4 linked regions of the Drosophila melanogaster genome follow. The protein of the gene in region 1 interacts with the protein of each later gene in a pairwise test. Each region holds a gene or a part of one and is shown in the gene's direction. Other genes may lie near its edges. The genes, in order: Rlip, CG43691, Lmpt and CG12985.

Region 1 (5,398 bases):
AGCACAAAGACAAACAGCAATGGCAATAAAGCAATGGGACAGAGAGACAACCCAGCTGCAAGCTAATTAAAGTTGCGACAGAACGAAGCCAGTCGCCAGTAGTCCGCCAGTTGCGAATGGAGCAATTTCCAGCCGGGAGTGTTTGCAATCCTGGTACTATCCCGTGAGAAGGGCTGAAAAAGGACTGTAAAATACCCAGTTCCCATCTATAGTTATCTGTCGTGCCTGCAAGGGGCTACGGCAACTTTGGTGGTATTGACAAAAAAAAAACGAAAGATACATGTCACAGTTATCATATATAAATTATCAGTCATTTGAATAAATCATTATTCATTATTATTATTATTTTCACTTCTTGTTACAGATAAAGTTACATAAACTGCGTATACCCTCTTGTTCGGCACACATCCAGGGTACCACACGGCAAATATGTCCTGCAACGAGAAGACAGCGCTTCTGGCAACGCAACAAGGACATCAGCAGCGGCAGCAGCGGCAGCAGCAGCACATCATTGTCGTGCCCGCGACGGGGAAGGATCCAAAGGATTATGAGCCCATTTTCACAACTGCTGAGTAAACGCTTTCCGTCGTATTTCATTAAAAAATAACTTCGTTACACAGTGCCGCCTGCCCGCTTCTTTCGTAGCTATTCCTACGGACTGACGCTCGAGGAGCTCCTGCCCTTCGCTCTGGATCCCTGGTGGCAGGCCGTACGGCGCCTCAGCTGCGGGCTCCTGGGCCTGACTTTCCTGCTGACCCTGATTGCTGGACTGGTTATGGCCTATTCCGACAGTGTCTGTCTCCCAAATAGAGCAATTAGCAGAAACGCGACCACCACGACAACGATGGCCACGCCACTATCCTTGGCTCTCAACGGCTCCCAGCTGCTGATGGCCAGTTTATAGTGGCCGTAAGCTAATCTGTGTAGCATTTTGGAGATGCCGCAATCCACCCTGCGGAATTGCATCAGCCGCATCAGCTCGCACTATTAGCATTTGTTTGGCTTGCCGGTAATGGAGGCGACCTAATCCTCCTCCTCTCTACTGTTTACCCCTACTCAAGCTGAGTGATAAGCGATGCACCGCGGGATTGATTGGTCGTGAAATAATTATACTGATTAACTTATTTGCTACACAACCGCCTACTCGTAAAGTAAAAAGAATGCAAAAGGTATAAGGAAGCGTTTCCGTACCAATTAAGAACATTGTATCGCAAACTTATTAATTTTTATATATATACATATATATATATGAATATTACTTAAACTAATAAACGAATAGTTTTTTTTCATCGCTGTATTCTGGTTTCGGTTTCTGGGAGTTTAGAAGTTAACAAACCGCCTTATAGTTTTACAGCCCCACCCTGAAAAAATGGTTTGATTTAGTTTTATTTTATAAATAGTCTTGGCAATTTGTATACTTGTGAAAAAACATTTTCACCACGCCCACACTAGCGCGCACAATTAACAAAATCCTGTAGTTACAGAGGTGGTACTCTTGTCATTTTGGAAGTTTTATGTATTATGTAGTTTATGTATATATATAAAAAATATTTTCTTAGAATTTAAATTATTTAAAATATTATTATTATTATATTATATATTAACACATATTTATTTATTTATTTATTATATATATATATATATATATATATTAATATTATAAAAATTTAAGAGTTAGTAGCTGATCGCATTTCTGATAGTTGAGGAACTCGACTGTAGCGTTTTCTCTTGTTTCAATTTGCCTTTTTTTAAATATCTACACCGTTACTACATATTTTTTACATGACACAGTAGCGCCATCTGTGCACTTATCAGTGTTGGATAGCAGCGGCGACTTCGATTAAGCAATCGATTATTTGTTGCATATGTTGTTTACGGCAATTGTTTATATTTATTTACTGCTGGTGAAGTGATTATTCGTGATGGATTTTGACAGTCCCGAGGAGAAGGAGTTTCCCGGGCTGTACGCCTCCGAGGCGGCGGACGCTAAGTCGAGGAAGAGCAAGGAGGAGAGCGACTGTGAGTGGAGCGCAAAGATGTGGGCGTAAGCTGGGAAAAAATCAATGGGCTCACCTTGCCTTTACAGTTAGTGAGGATCACGACCATAGCAAGAAGGACTTGTTGATTGGCCGGCGCAAGGACAAGAAGGAAAAGGGCAAGGATCGAGGATACGCCGCTCTGGAGGGCGAGAGCTCGCCGGAGGAGGAGCTGGACACCAAGTGGGTGCAGGTCAGCTGACCCAGAGACAAGTAATATTTTTTCTTTTACTTCCAGAAGTCCATCCAAGTCGAAAAAGTCAAAGACCTTTAAGTTCACCAGCTCCAAGAGCAAGGAGAAGCGGGAAAAGTCGCGGGACAAGTCTGAAAAAGACTCGAAGCACGCAGAGGAGGAGCCTTCCGTCTCCCACAAGGTCAAGGAGAAAGAGCGGGATAAGGAGAAGGACCGTGATGAGCCCAAGAAGAAGGACAAGGAGGAGAAGCGCAAGGAAAAGGACAAGAAGGCTGACAAGAAGGACAAAAAGGATAAGAAGAGCAAGCAGCTGTCGCAGCAGCAGGACGACGTCTCCGCCGCGGAGGAAGTGCTGGCACTTGGGTATCCCGTCTTTGGGGTGTCCGTTAGCTTGGCGACCGAACGATCCCGCTGCCACGACGGCGTGGACATTCCCCTGGTTGTGCGCGACTGCATCGACTTCCTGCAGGATCACCTGAAGTGTGAGCAGATCTACAAGATTGAGCCCATCAAGACGCGTCTGATGCACTTCAAGCGGTTGTACAACAACCGGGAGCACGACTCCGCCGTTGATGAGCTCAACCTGCCTACCGCCTGCAGTCTGCTGAAGCTCTTCCTGCGCGAACTGCCGGAGCCACTGCTGACCACCGATCTGGTGGCCCGCTTTGAGGAGGTAGCCTCTCATCCGAAGGTAACCACGCAGCAGGCAGAGCTGCAGCAGCTGCTTGAACAATTGCCCAAGTGCAATCGCACCCTCTTGGCGTGGGTGCTGCTCCACTTCGACGCGGTGATCCAGCAGGAAAGACACAATAAGCTCAACGCTCAGTCGCTGGCTATGCTGCTCAGTCCGACGCTCCAGATGTCTCACCGACTAATGGTGGCCCTACTCTGCCACTGCAACAACTTGTTCGCGGACGTCCAGCTGATAAAGTGAGCAAACACCGGCTAGCCGGATAACAGTGGTGGGAAATATCCAAGTACCTTTGTGTTGGTAAAAGAGAAGTCCACATTTAACAACTATAGTTAAATCACAAGAACGAATCGAAGTCATAGCTCTGAAGTTAACTACTAAACTGTTAGTTTTAGTAAACTGTTAGTTTCCATATTTATCTAATGATATAAATTGTTTTTTTATATGTATAATAGGTACTTATAAGAACCCAGATAATTCCCACCACTGTTGGCAGTTGATAAGATTGCTGCTATAAAAATCGCCAGATTTAGTCGTTTATTTTGCAACCGACGATGAGCACATTACCCCGTAAACAGAAGCGCTTTCCACGTTTCGCCAGTTTTCTAATCAGGCAGAATGGCACACATTTAAACAAAGTTATCATAATACTAAATTGTCATCTCTTAGGTATGTGCCCCCTTTAACATCGACCAGCCCAAAGCTTCCGGATACGCCGGAGGACATCCAGACGGAGTTGCGCAAGCAGGACAGCCTCCTGTCCCAGATCCACAGCGAGATGAACGCCGGGTTCATTACCAAGAAACGCGAGGAACAGCTGTGGGAAGTGCAGCGCATCATTACCCAGCTGAAGCGGAAACTACGAACTTTTGAGAAGAAACAGGAAAAGACTGCGGAGGAAGTAGACAACAGCAGCAGTGCTCCGCCCGCTGTAGCCAGTGAAGATACCACTGACTCCAAACCAGCTGGAACTCCAGCCGTATCTACGAACAACAGTATTTCCCAGGAAGAGCCAAAAACCGATACACTAACTCCGAAAGATGCTCCTAACGATTTTACTATTGATCCCAGCACTGGCTTTATTTTGCTCCCCAAATCAAATCCGCACCGCGAAAATTTGCTGCGGCTCCAAATTGAATATGACGAGCTAATGGAATGGCAGAACGAACTAAAAGCACGTATCGTCGCCGAGCGCAACGAAGTCTATAGGCTCAAGCAGCTGTACGAGCAGCAGTCAATAAACAGTCAAATGGCCTCCTTGGCCTCGGGATCTCAGGCTCCCCCAGAATCCGACTATGAGCGGATAATCGAGCACTATACACGGGAGAATGCGCTGCTGGAGCACAAGAAGAATATGCTGGGCATGGAACTAAAGGAGGAACGACGGGCCTGTATTGCTCTACAAGTTGAGCTGCGGCTCCAGCAGTTTTAATGTATTAATTCGATTAATGTATTACTTGGATGGGTCAATTTGAGGGATATAACTAAGTTCCTATTCCGGAAACTTAATGGTCACATTTCCAAAGAAACATAAAAGGTCTACTAGGCAATCATAGGAGGTTTCTTAGATTCGTAGAAGACAATTCTATGTCACATATCTAAAATATTCAAATGAATAAACTTGTAAAGTTTTTGATAATTCATTTATCTGCAAACGTAGTCACTGTTCTAAACAGTGTCCTTTGTGAATTGCAATATATGAGAATTTTCAGTTCAGCTTTTAAGGAGATAAAATACTGCTAAAACATAAAACGGATTCCTCATGCCTAAAGTCAGTTTATTGTTTATTTGGAAATGAGCTAGTTTCAGACTTGACCCACCGAAATATATGTATGTATATAGGGTTACCAATTTTAAATCTCAATGTCTACTTGCGATCAAATGCTTTGTTCAAACTATAATTACTGTTAAACGGCGCAAAGCCCCAAAGAAATCTTGTTAGACAACTTTACTGCTTTCAACAATTAAATGAGAAAACAAACTCAAAATTCCCTTTTCTGTACTGAACTATTGCATCGAAATATGTCTCCTCGAAGAATTTTGTAAATGCCGGTAAAGTAGCTGCGTTTGTGTGTGCCGACAATCAAGATCCGATTTTCTAAATCGGTCTGATGACTTAATTCCAATCCGAGAAATACAGGGCACAGATTAGAAGATGTTTAGACGACGGATTGGCTGTTCGCTGGGGTGAAACGGAAATGACATCATCTCATATTACGTCTTGTCAACATTGTGATGGTCAAGGAACCGAGGTGGGCTTTGCGTGTTACGATTACTTTATTTAATATTTATTATTAATAATTTTAGAATACATTATCATTATGCATTACGTTCGGGGCGTGTTTTCTGTATTCCGCTGAAGTACAACTTAAAAATATCACACACAAATACCACGGGGGAAAGATGAGTCCTCCGGAATGCCAAACCGCGTCAACTCGCTCCCCTCCATGATTAAGTTATTTCCGCTGGACTACAGAT
Region 2 (6,062 bases), on another chromosome or scaffold:
CAAGAAGTTACTGCGACAGTACGAGGATCTACCGATGGAGGATCAACAGGCGGCGGTTGGAGTGCGTGATGAATTGCTCCTGGATCTGGTTTATCTCCAGAAGATGGCCGAATCCGCAGAGCGCAATCAACGTAACGCCCGTTTGCAGGAGGTGCTCAAACAGACCAGCCTGGACGAGGTCCTGGAAAAGAGTCTAACCACCGAGTACTCACCGCGTTTTATAAAACTGCTAAAGACGGCGGAGCTTTATAAGGAGGCGGGCGAGCAGCAGGCCAAGGCATTTGTGGGTCTTTAGACCGCTTTAATCAACGTTTTAGATTTTTGTTTCAATTCATTAGTTGTTTTTTTCAATTAAAAATTCCCTTTGTTTGAGTTAAGTCATATATTTTTAACACATTTGAAATAAGCAACAAAATTCGTTTGAATTTATGTCAATAAATATTTTGAATAACACTTAGTTATTGTAAAATATTTTTAAGAATATAGTTTTATCCAAAGTAGTGCGAGAGTCCCAGATTGGCACCCAGATCGGTCTGGCCCTTGAAGGGTCCACTTGTCCACTTGGATGCCGTGCTGCCCAGATCTAGCCTTGTGTTGCGATCCTGCGACTGCCAAAGATTGGCACGCCCACCCAGCTCCAATTGCTTACCCAATCCGGGAATATTGGCGTGCGTCAGGGTAGCTCCATGACCTTTGATGTGGGAGTAGTCCAGTGCAGCTTCATTTCTATCGAACTTGAAGCCATTGGCAAGCTGATTCTGCGAGGCAAATGCCTTGGCATCCAGATTGTGAACACCGTTGTTGAACAAATTGGCGGTGGCCGTTTGCTGGAAGCTATCCCGCACACCGGGCGTATGGGTTTTGGTCAGTTCCAGGCCGTGTCCATGACTGCTCATGAAAAATAAGATTAGTTTCGCTATTGCTCAGATCGTAATCCTTTAAGAGACTCACTTGTTGTAGCCCAGGGTGGCGCCGCTGGTTACGGGAGTGGATACCGGTTTGGTCTGCGTGTTGCCCGCTGCGAACACTTGTCCAATAACATGGTGATCGGGAGTTCCAACGGCCTTGCTTAGGTCCAATCGGGCATCGGCACCGCCACTCGGATTGGATGTGAGTGATCCACCCAACACCTGGCGACGTGCCCTGTAGATTCTGGGTGGCGTCGGTGGTGGAGATCAGTGGCTGGGTATACGGACGTTGGGGCAAGGCCACCGCAAGGGAGCCAAGTACGCCAACGATGACCACAATTAGGAGAACAATTTTGCTCATCTTGCTGTATTAATCTCTTGATTTTCGATCTACTTGACTAAGCGGCTGACTGTTGACTGACGATGCTGGGATCTGGTCACCGTGAATTATATAGCAATCTATCTCTGAGTGGGGCTTCCCATCGAAACCGACAATGAATACCAATTTATAGATGGAAGATTTGTGATGCCTTATCTGTAAGCTGAGCAATGTTTCGCACTGGGATCCCCGAATGACCAGGTGGTTCACACCGTCTGATAAGAGATTGTGCATCCCCTTGAAACTACTTGCCGGTGATTTGCAAACTCTTTAAGGGTTTATTTTGAAGACAATTTTAATTAAATATATTTATGAATTTATATATAATAAAACAAGAATTTTAAAATAAAATCAATTTGAATTCAATTTATAATAACATATTTGCCAATGAGTAAGTTCAAATTTTAATAGAGTTAGCTTTTAAATTTTTTATGACATTTCATGACATTTAAGACTGTTTAAAAATCTAGTTAATTGGTATTCTTTGTATACACAATTCAGAGGATAAGGGATCAAATTCGATTAGTACGCGATGCAAGTGCCCCTGCTCCACCGGAGCACCCAGATGGTGCTGCTGAAGAAGCAGATCCGGCGGAAGGCGAAGGAGTTGCGTCTGCGAAAGCGTCACGCCCACCGCCGCCTTCAGGTGATGAGAAGGATCCGTGACCATCTGCTCGACAGGATGAGGAACTCCATAGATCACCGGCAGCGGGATGCGGAGCAGAAGAAGAGGGAGCAGACACGGAGGGCGGTGGGCGGTATGCTTTCCATGTACAAGCATTGGCTGCGCAGCTGGTCAAAAGCTTTAAGGTTACAAAGTCAGCTAATTCGGCACCAGGAGCATGTAAAAGTGGGAATGCGTCGCAAACTTCGACACTTGAGGAGGCAGTTGAAGAAAGTCCGCAATCCAAAGAACTTGGTCGACAAGTGCTTCCATCGACTGTTCAAGGCAGTTAGGAAGTGGCAAAAGAAACCGGATTACTACGAACACGTCAAGGATCAGGACAAGATCTGGGAGGCAGAGGCACTGGAGGTTCGAAACTATTTATCGGAGGTTCGGGGAAGGCGACCACGAAAGCTAAGCCGTGGCAGGGTTAAAAAGGATTTCGAAATCGAGGACTTTGCTAAATTTTGGAAAACTGAAGTGTTGCAAACAAACGCTATGATCAATAAACAAAGGGCCATGAGAGGAAGAAACGTGCCAGTAGATACAGCACATGATAAAACTAGGAAATCAAAGAAGAAATTGTGGAAAAGAAAAAAATTATATATCAGCTTAGATGAACTTGTTATTCGGAAAAAATTGAAAAGAATTCGGAAGGACATTCGAAAGCCAAAGAAACATGATCCATTAAAACCATCTTTAGAGGAACTGAAAATGTTGATAAGGGAACTAATCAGCTTCAACTGGAAAAAGATAGTTATTAAAAACCCGAAAATTAACAGAAAAGCCATAAGAAACCCCAAATTTGATTTTGACAAAATCTCCGATATTACAACTTTAAACCCAAAAGTACGAATAAAAAGAATTGTGAAAAGCGGACGAGCTCCCAGAAATGTTCCAGATCCGAAAATCATTAAATTCAAGGTAACAAGACCTAAACTTCGAAAGCGTAAAATGCACTATGTGGATAGGGTAATTAAAGACGAATTAAATGCACTTTTAGAGACAAAGGCAAAGAAAAGGGGCAATCGTCATGGAAAAACTAAAGAAGCTGAAACTTTTCAACAGGAAAAGGAAAAAAGAGACTTGGAAAAGCAAGAAAATGTACTCGAAAGATTATATAATGATATACCCCTATATATGAGGCGTGATATTGAGAGAAGAAATAGGAAAAAACTACGTGACAAACTTCAAGCTTCTAGTTCGAGTAGTTCGATTGCGTCCAAAGAGGTTTTCATCGGATCCGAAAAAGTGGCCACTAAGTCGGATAAGCACAAAAAGCTTTCCAGTACGAGCAGCGTTTACGTAATCAAAGACCGACCCGAATTATCTGCCGAGAGGAGTGGTTCTCATGTGTTATTCAAAAGGGATAGCGTTGCGTCCCTCACTGAATCACTGAATAAATTAGTTATGGGCAATCGAAACCGAAAATTTACCCGTAAATCTATTCGCATGCCACCCATCATACCCAAGAAGATCCGCGTTGCTCCTCCAAGAGGTCAAGAGGAAAGTCACTATCAGTCTTTGAAGAAGGATATCATGTACCTTCCTACAAACAGCGAGCATATGGGTGTATCTAGGATTACAGCCAGCGAATCAGCTCTGCACAGAGGGAACCAATCGAACAGGCATCTTCCACGAAGGGCTTCCGATACCCAAGTTGGTATTTATCCGACTAAATCCCAAAGCCAAGTTTTTGGTCATCTATCTTCGAAATCGACATCCAAAAATAAATTTAAATATGATGCGCTGCCAGATGATCTTGAAAAACTCCTTGCACCGGTGCGAGATCGCCACGACAAAACAGAAAATGCCCCAAAGCCCTACGTCAAAGAGTTCGAATTCGAACGGTTTCATTTGAAAGATCTACGCTCAGATGCCAAATTCAAACACTTGCAGTTCCTCCTTAAGGACGTCATACAAAGAAACGAAGTTATCGAGTATATTGCCGATGTTAATGGACTTATGCAGGAAGTAGCTAACCATGAAATGTGGTCCCATCTTCAGAGTCTCTACAACGAACTCACAGATGCAGGAGTTACGTTAACGCAAATTAAGGAAAGTCTGGCCAAAAAGTACTTGGAGTATCTTAACGAAATAGTGACCGAGAAGAACTATGCACGAATGGAACCGCCGCGGGACAATATGCTTAACGTTTTGGAAACCGAATCTATGAAAGCCAAACAGAAGAAAGAGGTGGAAAAGTTTATGGAGCGAAACTGGTGGTCTAGGAAGCGGGTCAGCACACGGCTCATTCCCTTCGGCATGCGGGGAATAAGGACGAGCAAAATTGACCCATCTCACAGCTCACGCCAGTCGCAGGAAATCAAGATGAACGGCGGAATGTACAATAAACTCCTCGAGCAGGAGCTCAATGCAGAACGATTGGAGCGCGAGGAGCGTAAGAGAAGACGCTTTAGCAGCACCTTTGGATCAACTATAAGCTTCAACAACAGCTTGGATCTGGCGGCCAACGAGGAGCAGGATGTGCGGGACATCGAGTGGCGCTACTCGCTACACAACATTAGGAGCATGATGAACCAGCACCAGCTGATGTTTCAGGTGGGTTAACTATACTCAACCGCCAAAAAGTTATAAAATAACATCTTCGAAATACATTTTTATTCTTTCTTTCAGGCTTTGGATCGCAAATCGCGAGTGGAGCAGTTGGTCCACAAGAAGATGAAGGGAAAAGTCGAAGAATTGTATACCTCTGCACAATTTAGGCGTCCTAAATTCCGTTCCACCACTTTTACGGCAAGGAAGAGGAGCAAAGATCTTAGGCCCATCGAGGAACTTTACTACTCACCCCGAAAAACTTGTCGCCTGCAGAAGATCTCCTGTTCCGCAGAGTGTTTGGCATGCGAAGGCCAAGTTGAGAAAATTGGTGATTCGATGATCCTGGACAAGTGTCCTCGGTGTGGAGTAAAGGTGCCTGTGCCCGCGCCCACTACCCCGTTCTCCATGTCGTCCTCGTCCAGCTGCGAGATCTTGTCCAGCGGATCCATAGAAGCCTGTGCCAAGAACAAGCTGCTAATCAACACGCTCGAGGACCTTTGCACACGCTGTGGCTATGTCCATAAAAAGGGGCATCTTTGCTCACAGTTACCCATGAATGAGCGGAAGACCAAGCTTCTAAAGCGGATTAAGGGCACCGTACCTACTGCTCCCGAGTGCCCGGCATTTTGCTGCCCACGCGGGATCCTTAAGAATACCAGAAGTTTTGATCCTTAGCAGGGGCGACAAGGAGTGCTGAGTACTTTTGAAGCCACCAAAGTGGTAACTAAACTCCGGATATGCACGGATATGAGCACCACCAAATCAGCCGGCTGAGGCGAATGAAACATTTGGTTTAAGTGCTAAATAAATTCAAGTAATGAGTTTGCCTCTGTCTGTGGGTGTGCCTGTGTTGTTAAATGCTTTGCCAAGTTTCATAAAATATGCAAGGACTTTTGCACACACACACACACACACATTGCACACCAACAAACAGGGCCAAGCTCATGCGATGCACTCACGTAGAGAGAAAATGTCTGCGGGCTTTTAATACACTTGCAGGATGCTCCTTCTCCTGGTCGTGTTCCTTATCCCCTTGCTGCTCCACCCACTGCTCCCCCCGATGCTCCTGCCACGACTTCTCGCTCATGCAACGAAATTTCATCTTGCCTCCTTTTTTTTTCGGCCAAGTTTTTAAGTCGAGCCATTGCTGTAATGGAATTTTATTGCATACTCGCACTCGCATTCTGTTTGCGCAAGCGAAACATGTTTCAGACATTTTCATAAATGAAAACGCTTAACTACACAGCCGCCGATTGGCCGAAGATCAGGCAGGCTCTCAAGGAATTTTCCGAGTAACAGATCCTATATTTCAAAATTGTTGCAATTAAAATGGAACTGTGCTTACAATGTTATTGGTTCTTCAGTAAGGATATTCTCATTTAATTTAGGACATTTTATGTATTTTTATACCAGATCAGTGGATATTACTTACTGATTTATAAAGCTTGTAAGACTGCATTTGGAAATCCTAATATTTGTTAATCTAGTTCTTGCTCTTACAAATCTGCTTATTTTTCTTTTTTCATTTTATATATAACTTGTGACCGAATAA
Region 3 (4,655 bases), on another chromosome or scaffold:
CGCCCGCCGCACGCAGTTCACGTTTATTGCATAGGTGCGGCAATCGCCCTTTCCAAAGGTTATGGCATTTTCATTGAACTTCACTTGGCTGCCTGTGGGAGTCGGGGATCCCGGGGATATCTATCCTCCAGCTCCGCAAATGCAGCGACTCGCGAGTGGCGATGGCAACAAAGAAATGAAGGCAGTTCATTGGCAGCACTGGCTGTTGACGCGTTGTCATCCGTCGAGCGGAAGTTCATTGCGAGTGAGCCGGAAATTTGTGGCATTCGGTTAAGGTTAGAGATTGCTAAAAATTGCTGCAGGTATTCGCAATTTGTTATTGATGTGCACAAACTGCTTTAGCTCGATTGAAAATATCCTTTATCCATTTATTTTGATTTTAAATAGATTGGGGGTGTAATATGCAAGTAAATAAATTTTTTTTATATGCGTGTTGATCGATTTTTAATTAGAAAATGTTGGATAAAGAAATTGCATTGTCTGTCGCCTTTCGGTGTTATTGTACAAAAAACCATGTTTAAATTTATTCAAAATAAATTTAAATTACCATCAGAAACACTTTCGCTTTCGTTGCGAAAAGCAAAATAAACATATGAATATATCAGAGCCCAGATGACCCATTTATTCATATAAATCTATCTATTTTTGCCACAATTTCTAATGACAATCAGATGATGAGAATAAACAAAAGAATACAAAAATAGTTTGGCTTTGTGGGGCAAAGAACACAATTATGCCGCGTTTGACAATAATTATACTGATTCTGAAAACGCAGAAGAGAACCACAGCGAAATCGGCGATAAAGAGCCTCTGAAAGCTGCTGGCAATGTTAGTGTCAGTGCCAAGACGAAATTTATGGCAAACATTTGTGTGCAATCCGCTCGGAGGCGGCGAAATGGGGCGTGGCGACCCTGGCCCCAGGCGCTGGCAATGCCAAAGAAAACTGATTTGCAAACACCAGGAACAGTAAAAGTCATGCCCATAAGAATTACGAATGCTAAAATATATTTTTCCCACTTTCGAGAATACCAAATTTTATTGGCAAAATAAACAAAAGAATTGGGCATTTTATAAACAAAATTGTATCTCAACATTGTACTCTTAAATGTTATTTTTTCTAAAATCGGAGATACGATGTGACCATTAATGCCAAATTAAGCATTTTTATGGAAATTGGCACCTTAGCTCTGTATATTATTGCAGCCAACTGTGCGTCTGAATAATATGTGTGGTATGCAGTATAGAAAGATCATGTTTTTCAGAAAATACTTGATTTTTTATTATTTTAAAATATCAAAAGAAACATTTTCTGATTAATTTTGATAAATTGAATTTTTAAACCTGAATAAAAGGATAGGAAAGAAAAGATCCCTAAATCTTGATACTTGCTTGAGATTAAAAAACTCTTCATTATGTTATCGAAATGACAGTTGCATTTGATTTTCCCTATCCGATTTATGGTCATGTCGCTAACTGTTCTCCCGCACGAAAACGGCGAGCAAAGCAGAAAGTGGCGAAAAGTGTTTTGTGGAAAACAGCAATCGAAGCATAGACCAAAAATAGTTCCCCCCAAACGAAAAGGGGGCGCGGCCGGCGGGGTGTCGACTAAACTGATTAGAAAATCGGCTTTGGCCAATTCCGATTGCTTTGGCATTTGACACGGAGGCAAGGCAGTGCAACAACGGCAGCGGACAGAAGCAGATACATTTGTGTTGCCAAATTGCCAGCGACAAAAGTCGGCGATGTCTTGTCAGCTCTACAGGCCTTTTGCTCTCATCGCTGGCCGTCAATTAGCGCCGTTTGCCATTTGAACGGATTCGGTTCTTGGCGGTTCTCTCGCCGCTGATTCACTTGTTCTCTAGAAATCGGGGGACCCATGGGCATTGGCTGGGGCATTAATCAGTTGCAAGACGATCGATTAGCGGAAAACAAGAGCTCGCCGCCCGAGCAACTGCATCCGCCTGGCGAGTCCGCCCATCTCCGATTCTTCTTGCTTCGCGCTCTCATAAATCGTCTCAAAACGTAGATAAATGAATATATATCGATGATTGGTTCAATGATTTGTGAGCGAAAGTGAAATAAATATTTTTCGAATTACCTAATCGGCTGGCCATTAACGTGAGTGGTGTGAATTTTCGAGTGCGTGGTGAATATATTTTATATAATACGTGTTAGCCGATTCGGTTCTCGTCGACACATACTCTCATTGCATCGGCGAACGTTGGAGGATTCGGATTCCGTTTCGATTCTGGTCATTACGCAATGGCCGCTGAGGAGACGGCGCTAACCGGCGTCGGCGAGCTACTATTCTCGCTGCTAATTGGATACCTAGGTGCCCTGGAATTCGCCTTTGTGGCGCGCCATCTATACCACTGGACTTTCCAACATCCCGGCGATTCTTCTGTAGATGCAGCAGCTGACGCAGAAGAATTGCCTCGCATGCGAGAGCGATTGGATAAGCAGATCAAGGAGGCGGCGGAAAGGGAAGCCCTGGCAGGAACCAATGTCATGCAGGATGGTGTCCTATATGTCAATGGAATACGAGTAGATCCTGCTGGAGATAAAAGACAAGCTTTGGCAGCCGAACTGGCACGTCAACAGCAAATTGAAGCCGATACGAGGCGTCAGCTGGCCGAAGCCGAGGCCAAGCTGGTAGAAGAAAGACTACGAGTCCAGAGGGAGAAAGAGGAATCGGAGGAGCAGCAGAGAAAGCTCGTAGAGGCGGAAAGACAGCGCGAAAGAGAGCAGGCGGAGAAAGAACTGCAGGAACAAAGAGAAGCCGAACGCAGACAGCTAGAAGCAGAAGAAAATCAGCGTAAACAGCGCGAAAACGAGGAGAAAGAACGCCTAGAAAACGAAAGAAGGCTGATAGATGCCGAACGGGAAAGGGAGGAGAATGAGCGAAGACTGCAAGAAGCTGAAGAGCAGCGCGAGCGAGAAGAAAGCGAAAGAAGAATCGTCGTGGCAGAGCGTCAGAGAGAGCAGGCCGAAGCCGAAAAGGAGCGAGCCGAACAACAAAGGATCCTGGCTGAAGCCGAGGCAGCGCAAGCCGAGCGTCGTCTCTTTGATGCCGAGATTCAGCGAGAGCGCGATCAAGCTGACGAAGAAGGGCAAGCACTGAGGGATGCGGAGATCGTAGAGCGTCTTCTGGCAGCAGAAAGAGAGCTCAGTCCAAGCGCTACAGAGAGCGAACTGGAGGAGGATGCTGCCATCGCAGAGCAGTCGCGTCGCCTGATCTCCAGCAGAACTGATCTGGAGCAAAAACAGCGAATGATTGAGGAAAACGCCAGACGCTTTCTTGAGGCAGAAGAGGAGATGGTAATGTTACAACAGCGCCAACTTCAAGCCTCACACAGCAAAGAGGAGGCAGACGAGTATGCTGGCATGGAACCCGTGGTGGAGGAGCTGTGTGTGAAGAAAGTGGCTCCACCCAGGTTTCAGGAGCCTCCAGAAGAACCCATGGTGCATAAAGTGAAAACTCAATTTGGTCAAGGAAGTGGTCCTGAAGACGCCTACTCAGCAAAGTCAAAAACACTCACCTTCCCTGGCGTATCGGATGAAGGATCCTCTCTTGAACCCAAAACTCCGTTCTCCATCCAGCAGTCGTCCTTCAGCACGCAGCCCTCTGATGAGGGCAACAGAATCGAAAGTGAACGCCCAGAACCTGAAGGAGAAGATCAGATACAGGAAGTCCAGTACACCGAGGACTACCTTCGTTCTCTAGATGGCATTAAGAATCGTCCTTTGATGCGAGAGGATGGTTCAGGGAGAAGAAGGGCTTTTAAGAAGCGACGATCCAGTGGAAGCTCGAACTCCTCGCGGGAATCGCGAGCCTCCCGCGACGAAGAACTAAAGATGTTCACCTCGCTAGAGGAGGAGGAGTTGCGCCACGGCGACCGAGAGGACTATAACCCCATCAAGTATACGAGCGAACCTACCCTGAGGGTTAAATCCCACCGACGTCACAAAAGGAGTCCAGCAAAGGATGTTAGACCAACGGCAGAGTCGACCACATCCTTAGAGATGCTCGGTGAGGAGAGCACAAATCCCTGGGGTGAGGTTGTGCCGGAGCATTATAAGGATACCGAGTTTTGGAAGCGGGAAAAAGCGCTCTCCATAGACGAGGAGGAAATCGAACTAGAAAGACCATCCAGGGGAGAGGATGTGGAGGAAGAAGCTACAAATGAGCCAAAATCGTCCTCCTTTGAAGAGGCCACTGAGGCACAAAACGAACAGGCAGTGGCTGCCCTAAAACAACAACTTTCCAAGGAGCAGTTGGTGAGTAAATGAATCTACAAGCCGAGGATCTATATCAATGATTTATTATGTGTGTGTTAGGACAAAGAAGCGGAGAAGGACAACCCGCAAGCAGTGGATACCAGCGACAGCAACAAATCCAATGTAAGTGCGTAGCACAGACACCTGGCATCATTTCTCACCCAATAATTTCGACCACAACCTAATCCACCAATCGCAGACACCACTGCCGCATAACTAACTGTCCTAACTGCTTTACCTCTTTGCTTTTCATATTGCTACTGCTCCCACATTCCGCTTGCTTTTCCGCTTCACCTTTCCCCCAAAAAGCTGCAAACCTCTATCGCAGCAGAGGAGCAATCAAGGGGTGGTTCACCTGGCTTGCGACGCAGTCCACG
Region 4 (3,646 bases), on another chromosome or scaffold:
AAATGCACAATATTATGATAAAATGTGGTAATAAAACATAAATGATGTTGGCAATGATTAAATTTACTTCTCTATAAATCAAAAAGAACATAAAATGAGCATTTGGTTTGTATTATAAAGTCTCTAAATCTATTCGAGCGAACGATACCATATTTTCATAGTTTGCGATACTCATAAGATCACATTGGAAAACAAGTGTATGATTTCCCTTGCACACTTGCTGTCAATTGAATTGAACGTTCTGCCATTTTGCAACTTTCTTATAGAGAACATGGCCGTATCATTCCCTATTTCCGCCACTGTACTGACTGTTTTGTATTTTGTATGGTAATTGAAAACTGCGCATTCATTGATGACGGATGACGTCGCAGCTTTGACAGTGGCATTGAAAATTTCAGTTTCGCAAGCAGACTGCAGTAAACTGGTGACCAGTCGGCAGCAACAACAACAATGATAATGAATGCAGGAAGAACAAGAACAAGAAGACTACAATAACGATACTATATACCATGTATGTACATATATATATATATATATATATATAACAAAGGAACTGAATGGCCGGCATGAATTTCACTTAATAATGTGTTGCCCGAAAAACGTTTTTTTCCTCTGCATCTATGGAATTTCATCTTTCAAATAACTCATCTTGAATCTTAAATCAATTATGCGGATAGCATGTTTTCCCTGACTTTTATGCGTAATTTCAACGAAGAATTTGAATTCTCTCACGGAATAAATGTTAGTATATTCAGTGTAAATGAAAAATACGCAAATATCTATTATAGCGCTATCTATGTATCTATGAATCTGTATCTACAGATCGTTGCAATTGTTGATATTACTTCCGCCAGGTGGCGTTTTCCCCACCGCCAGTTAACTGCATTCATGGTTTCTGTTTTCCGCACACTTATTTATTTGGCCGCACTGATTAGAGACTGGAATCACAATAATAATAACCAAAACAAATGGCAGCACGTGCTTAGCATCTGGTTTGTTGTGATAAAGTGCGACTTTTCCCAGCCCACCCACACCTATGCCGCTTTCTACCCTTTCTCCGCTCGCCACACGTGCTTGCTAGTCAGCTAACCAGCTAGCTAGTTAGTCAGCTAGCCGCTAGCTAGTTAGATACTTAGTTAGCCAGCCAGTTGGCTGCGTCAGCGTCGCAATTGCGCCGCAATTGGGCACTAATGAAGTATTCTTGATACGCATTTACACTGCATTGGGCAAAGGGAGAAAGAAGGTGCGAAAGGTGAGCAAGGTGCGAAAGCTGCCAACTGAGGTGCTGATTACCCATCGCTATGGCAGCCATTTATCCTGCAGGACAATGGGAAATGGGAAAGCTGGAAAAGCGCTGGTGGAAAAGTATGGGCAACCACTCAGCTCAATTAAAAAATCGTTAAAGGGCAAACAATTGCTTTTCCGTTTCACAAATACGTTCTAGCTCTTTTAGACGGTAAGTTAAGGGGTTCCCATCATCAATTAAACTGATACTATGCGAAAGTACTAGAAAGCCAGCCAACTGTAAAGAATCGCAAAATACCCTGAAATATGTATATATTCTATGGAATATCTAGTAGTTTTGAAAGCAGCAGCCTGAGTCGCTTTCCTCAAATTCCGGATTCAAAATGTATATATTTCCACCATATACCCTGCTCCTTATCATCCTCCGCATTGTGAGTGTCCGTGCGATGAGCTTCGACCAGCCCCACAACGAACACGACGCCTCCCTGGCTAGCTATTTGGACAACACCAACGATGACATATCTCCCCAGGGCTTCAACGGCGATGGGAATGGTAGTTCGGGGGCCACAGTGGTGCCATTCCCTTATCTGGGATGCACCACAAGACCGTCCTACCAATCTGGATGTGAAAGCATGGACGAAAGCGCTAGGGACCGAGAAAAAGATCGCAATATTGATCGGGATCGAGGCCGAGATTGGGATCGAAATAGGGGTTGCGATAGAAACAGGGATCGGGACAAAGACAGGAATAATATTAGAGATAGGGACAACTGTGACTCCTGTGACGAGATTATCAATTCGCGGCTGAAGGCCACCCACATTGCCCAGAATGCCGCCCAGGTGGCCAAGGCAGCCAATGATGCACAGGCGGCCGCCGCTCAAGATGCATCGCGGCAGGCGAAGATGCAGCTGGCGGAAAAGGCCATCTCCGCTGCCCGTGCCGCCGATGCGGTGCTCGAGGGCAAACAGGCAATGGTGGACAACTACGCTAGGGAGATCCGGGATGCCGAGGAGGTGGTCGGACAGGTGAGCTGCTCGCTGCAGAACAGTGAGACGAACGTGGAGGCCTCCTGTGCCGTGGTCAAAGCAGCGGAGGTTCAAGCCGAAACATTCAGGTATAATTGATAAATATTCAATATTCAATATTGTTCACAATCCATCCAACTATCTACACAATTTAAAAGCGGAACAATTATATCGTTATATCTATCATAATATCTACCAGCGATAACATATCGATTTTTAATATCAATGCTTTTTCGATTACTAATGTTTTCAGGGCCCTCGTACAGCAGACGAGTGGCATTTTGTCGGAAATGGACAGCCTAATCGACCAGTCGAACATGGATATCGAGGAGAAGAACCAAATGCTGGCGGCGGCGAAGGCACGTGGTGACCGCCTGGCCCGCCAGGTGGCGCAAGCTAAGTCGGAGTACGAGCAGGTGAAGGAGGCGGCCTGTCGCGCCGCATCCGCCGCCGTGGAGGCCAAGCAAAAGGTCGGCACCGGCAGTTTGCTGTACAAGTCGTCGGTTCACCGCCTACCCACTGTCGCCATAAGGGCCAATGGAGCGCGCGGTTACGCACTCGACAGGAACACCTGCAATGCTCTCCTGGATCTCTACAGGCAGCGCCGACGGCAGCAACAGCGAATGCGGCGGGAGAAAATCCTGAACGGACTGGATCGCTATCAAGGGAATTCACTGTACGGGGATCACTCGTACTAACAAATGCGCTCCCTACTAACGGATGCTACGTCCACAATTCTGTTTTTCTAAACGCTGCAAATTATTTTAACTCTATTTGGATAAGAGTTTCGAGATTTTTCAACAATTTCAGTTTCACTTTTTGAGCGTAAATATGAAGTATTACCTAAATGCGAGTTGTATAATCCTTGTTTTCTTGTTAATTTATTTCCTACTTTTAAGATCGTACTAAATAGCTTGCACATATCATTACAAATCATTAATGTATTGTCAGTTATGTACATATTAAAGATCTTCCCCGTATCGAGTGACCACCGTAGCTGCTTCAATACACAATTGTTTACCAACAAATTCGCCTGACAGTGTCGTAATTCTTGCGAAATAAACAATAACAATGGGAAATGAGTGCAAGGCCAAGACGCAACGAAACACGATCGCAAAGAGGAGAAGGAGAGTGGGAGGGGGAATAGAGAAGGAGATAGTGTGGAAAAGCCATCTTGTCCAGCGGAAGAACGAATGAAAATCACAGCTGCCAATGCGAGGCTGCCAGCTGTTTGGATTTTTCCTCCTTTTCCCTTATGTATTTGTTTTTTGGAAAAATTGTGGGCGGTTGGGTGTAAAAAGTGCAACGCAAGCAGGGTTGCCACCTTTTGCGGCTCTGTTGCGTCGTTGTTTTTATTGCTATTTTGGCGTCGCTTC

The links.
Region 2: the proteins of Rlip (region 1) and CG43691 interact in a two-hybrid assay, tested with the Drosophila melanogaster proteins (one large-scale study listed by BioGRID).
Region 3: the proteins of Rlip (region 1) and Lmpt interact in a two-hybrid assay, tested with the Drosophila melanogaster proteins (one large-scale study listed by BioGRID).
Region 4: the proteins of Rlip (region 1) and CG12985 interact in a two-hybrid assay, tested with the Drosophila melanogaster proteins (one large-scale study listed by BioGRID).

What each region holds. Positions count from the first base shown.
Region 1 is NT_033777.3:21,015,856-21,021,253, forward strand, and holds Rlip (Ral interacting protein), read left to right. Parts: upstream 1-1,828; 5' UTR 1,829-1,922; coding exon 1,923-2,019; intron 2,020-2,086; coding exon 2,087-2,219; intron 2,220-2,274; coding exon 2,275-3,159; intron 3,160-3,589; coding exon 3,590-4,352; 3' UTR 4,353-4,898; downstream 4,899-5,398. Other genes in the region: CG5697 (uncharacterized protein), read left to right, coding at 430-572, 646-904. UniProt on the Drosophila melanogaster protein: Participates in receptor endocytosis during interphase, is also involved in mitotic processes when endocytosis is switched off.
Region 2 is NT_033778.4:13,388,976-13,395,037, reverse strand, and holds CG43691 (uncharacterized protein), read left to right. Parts: upstream 1-1,676; 5' UTR 1,677-1,819; coding exon 1,820-4,513; intron 4,514-4,588; coding exon 4,589-5,185; 3' UTR 5,186-5,543; downstream 5,544-6,062. Other genes in the region: CG4744 (uncharacterized protein), read left to right, coding at 1-295.
Region 3 is NT_037436.4:16,897,791-16,902,445, forward strand, and holds the start of Lmpt (limpet), read left to right. Parts: upstream 1-1,624; 5' UTR 1,625-2,262; coding exon 2,263-4,278; intron 4,279-4,338; coding exon 4,339-4,401; intron 4,402-4,587; coding exon 4,588-4,655.
Region 4 is NC_004354.4:17,882,117-17,885,762, forward strand, and holds CG12985 (uncharacterized protein), read left to right. Parts: upstream 1-1,601; 5' UTR 1,602-1,691; coding exon 1,692-2,359; intron 2,360-2,523; coding exon 2,524-2,968; 3' UTR 2,969-3,122; downstream 3,123-3,646.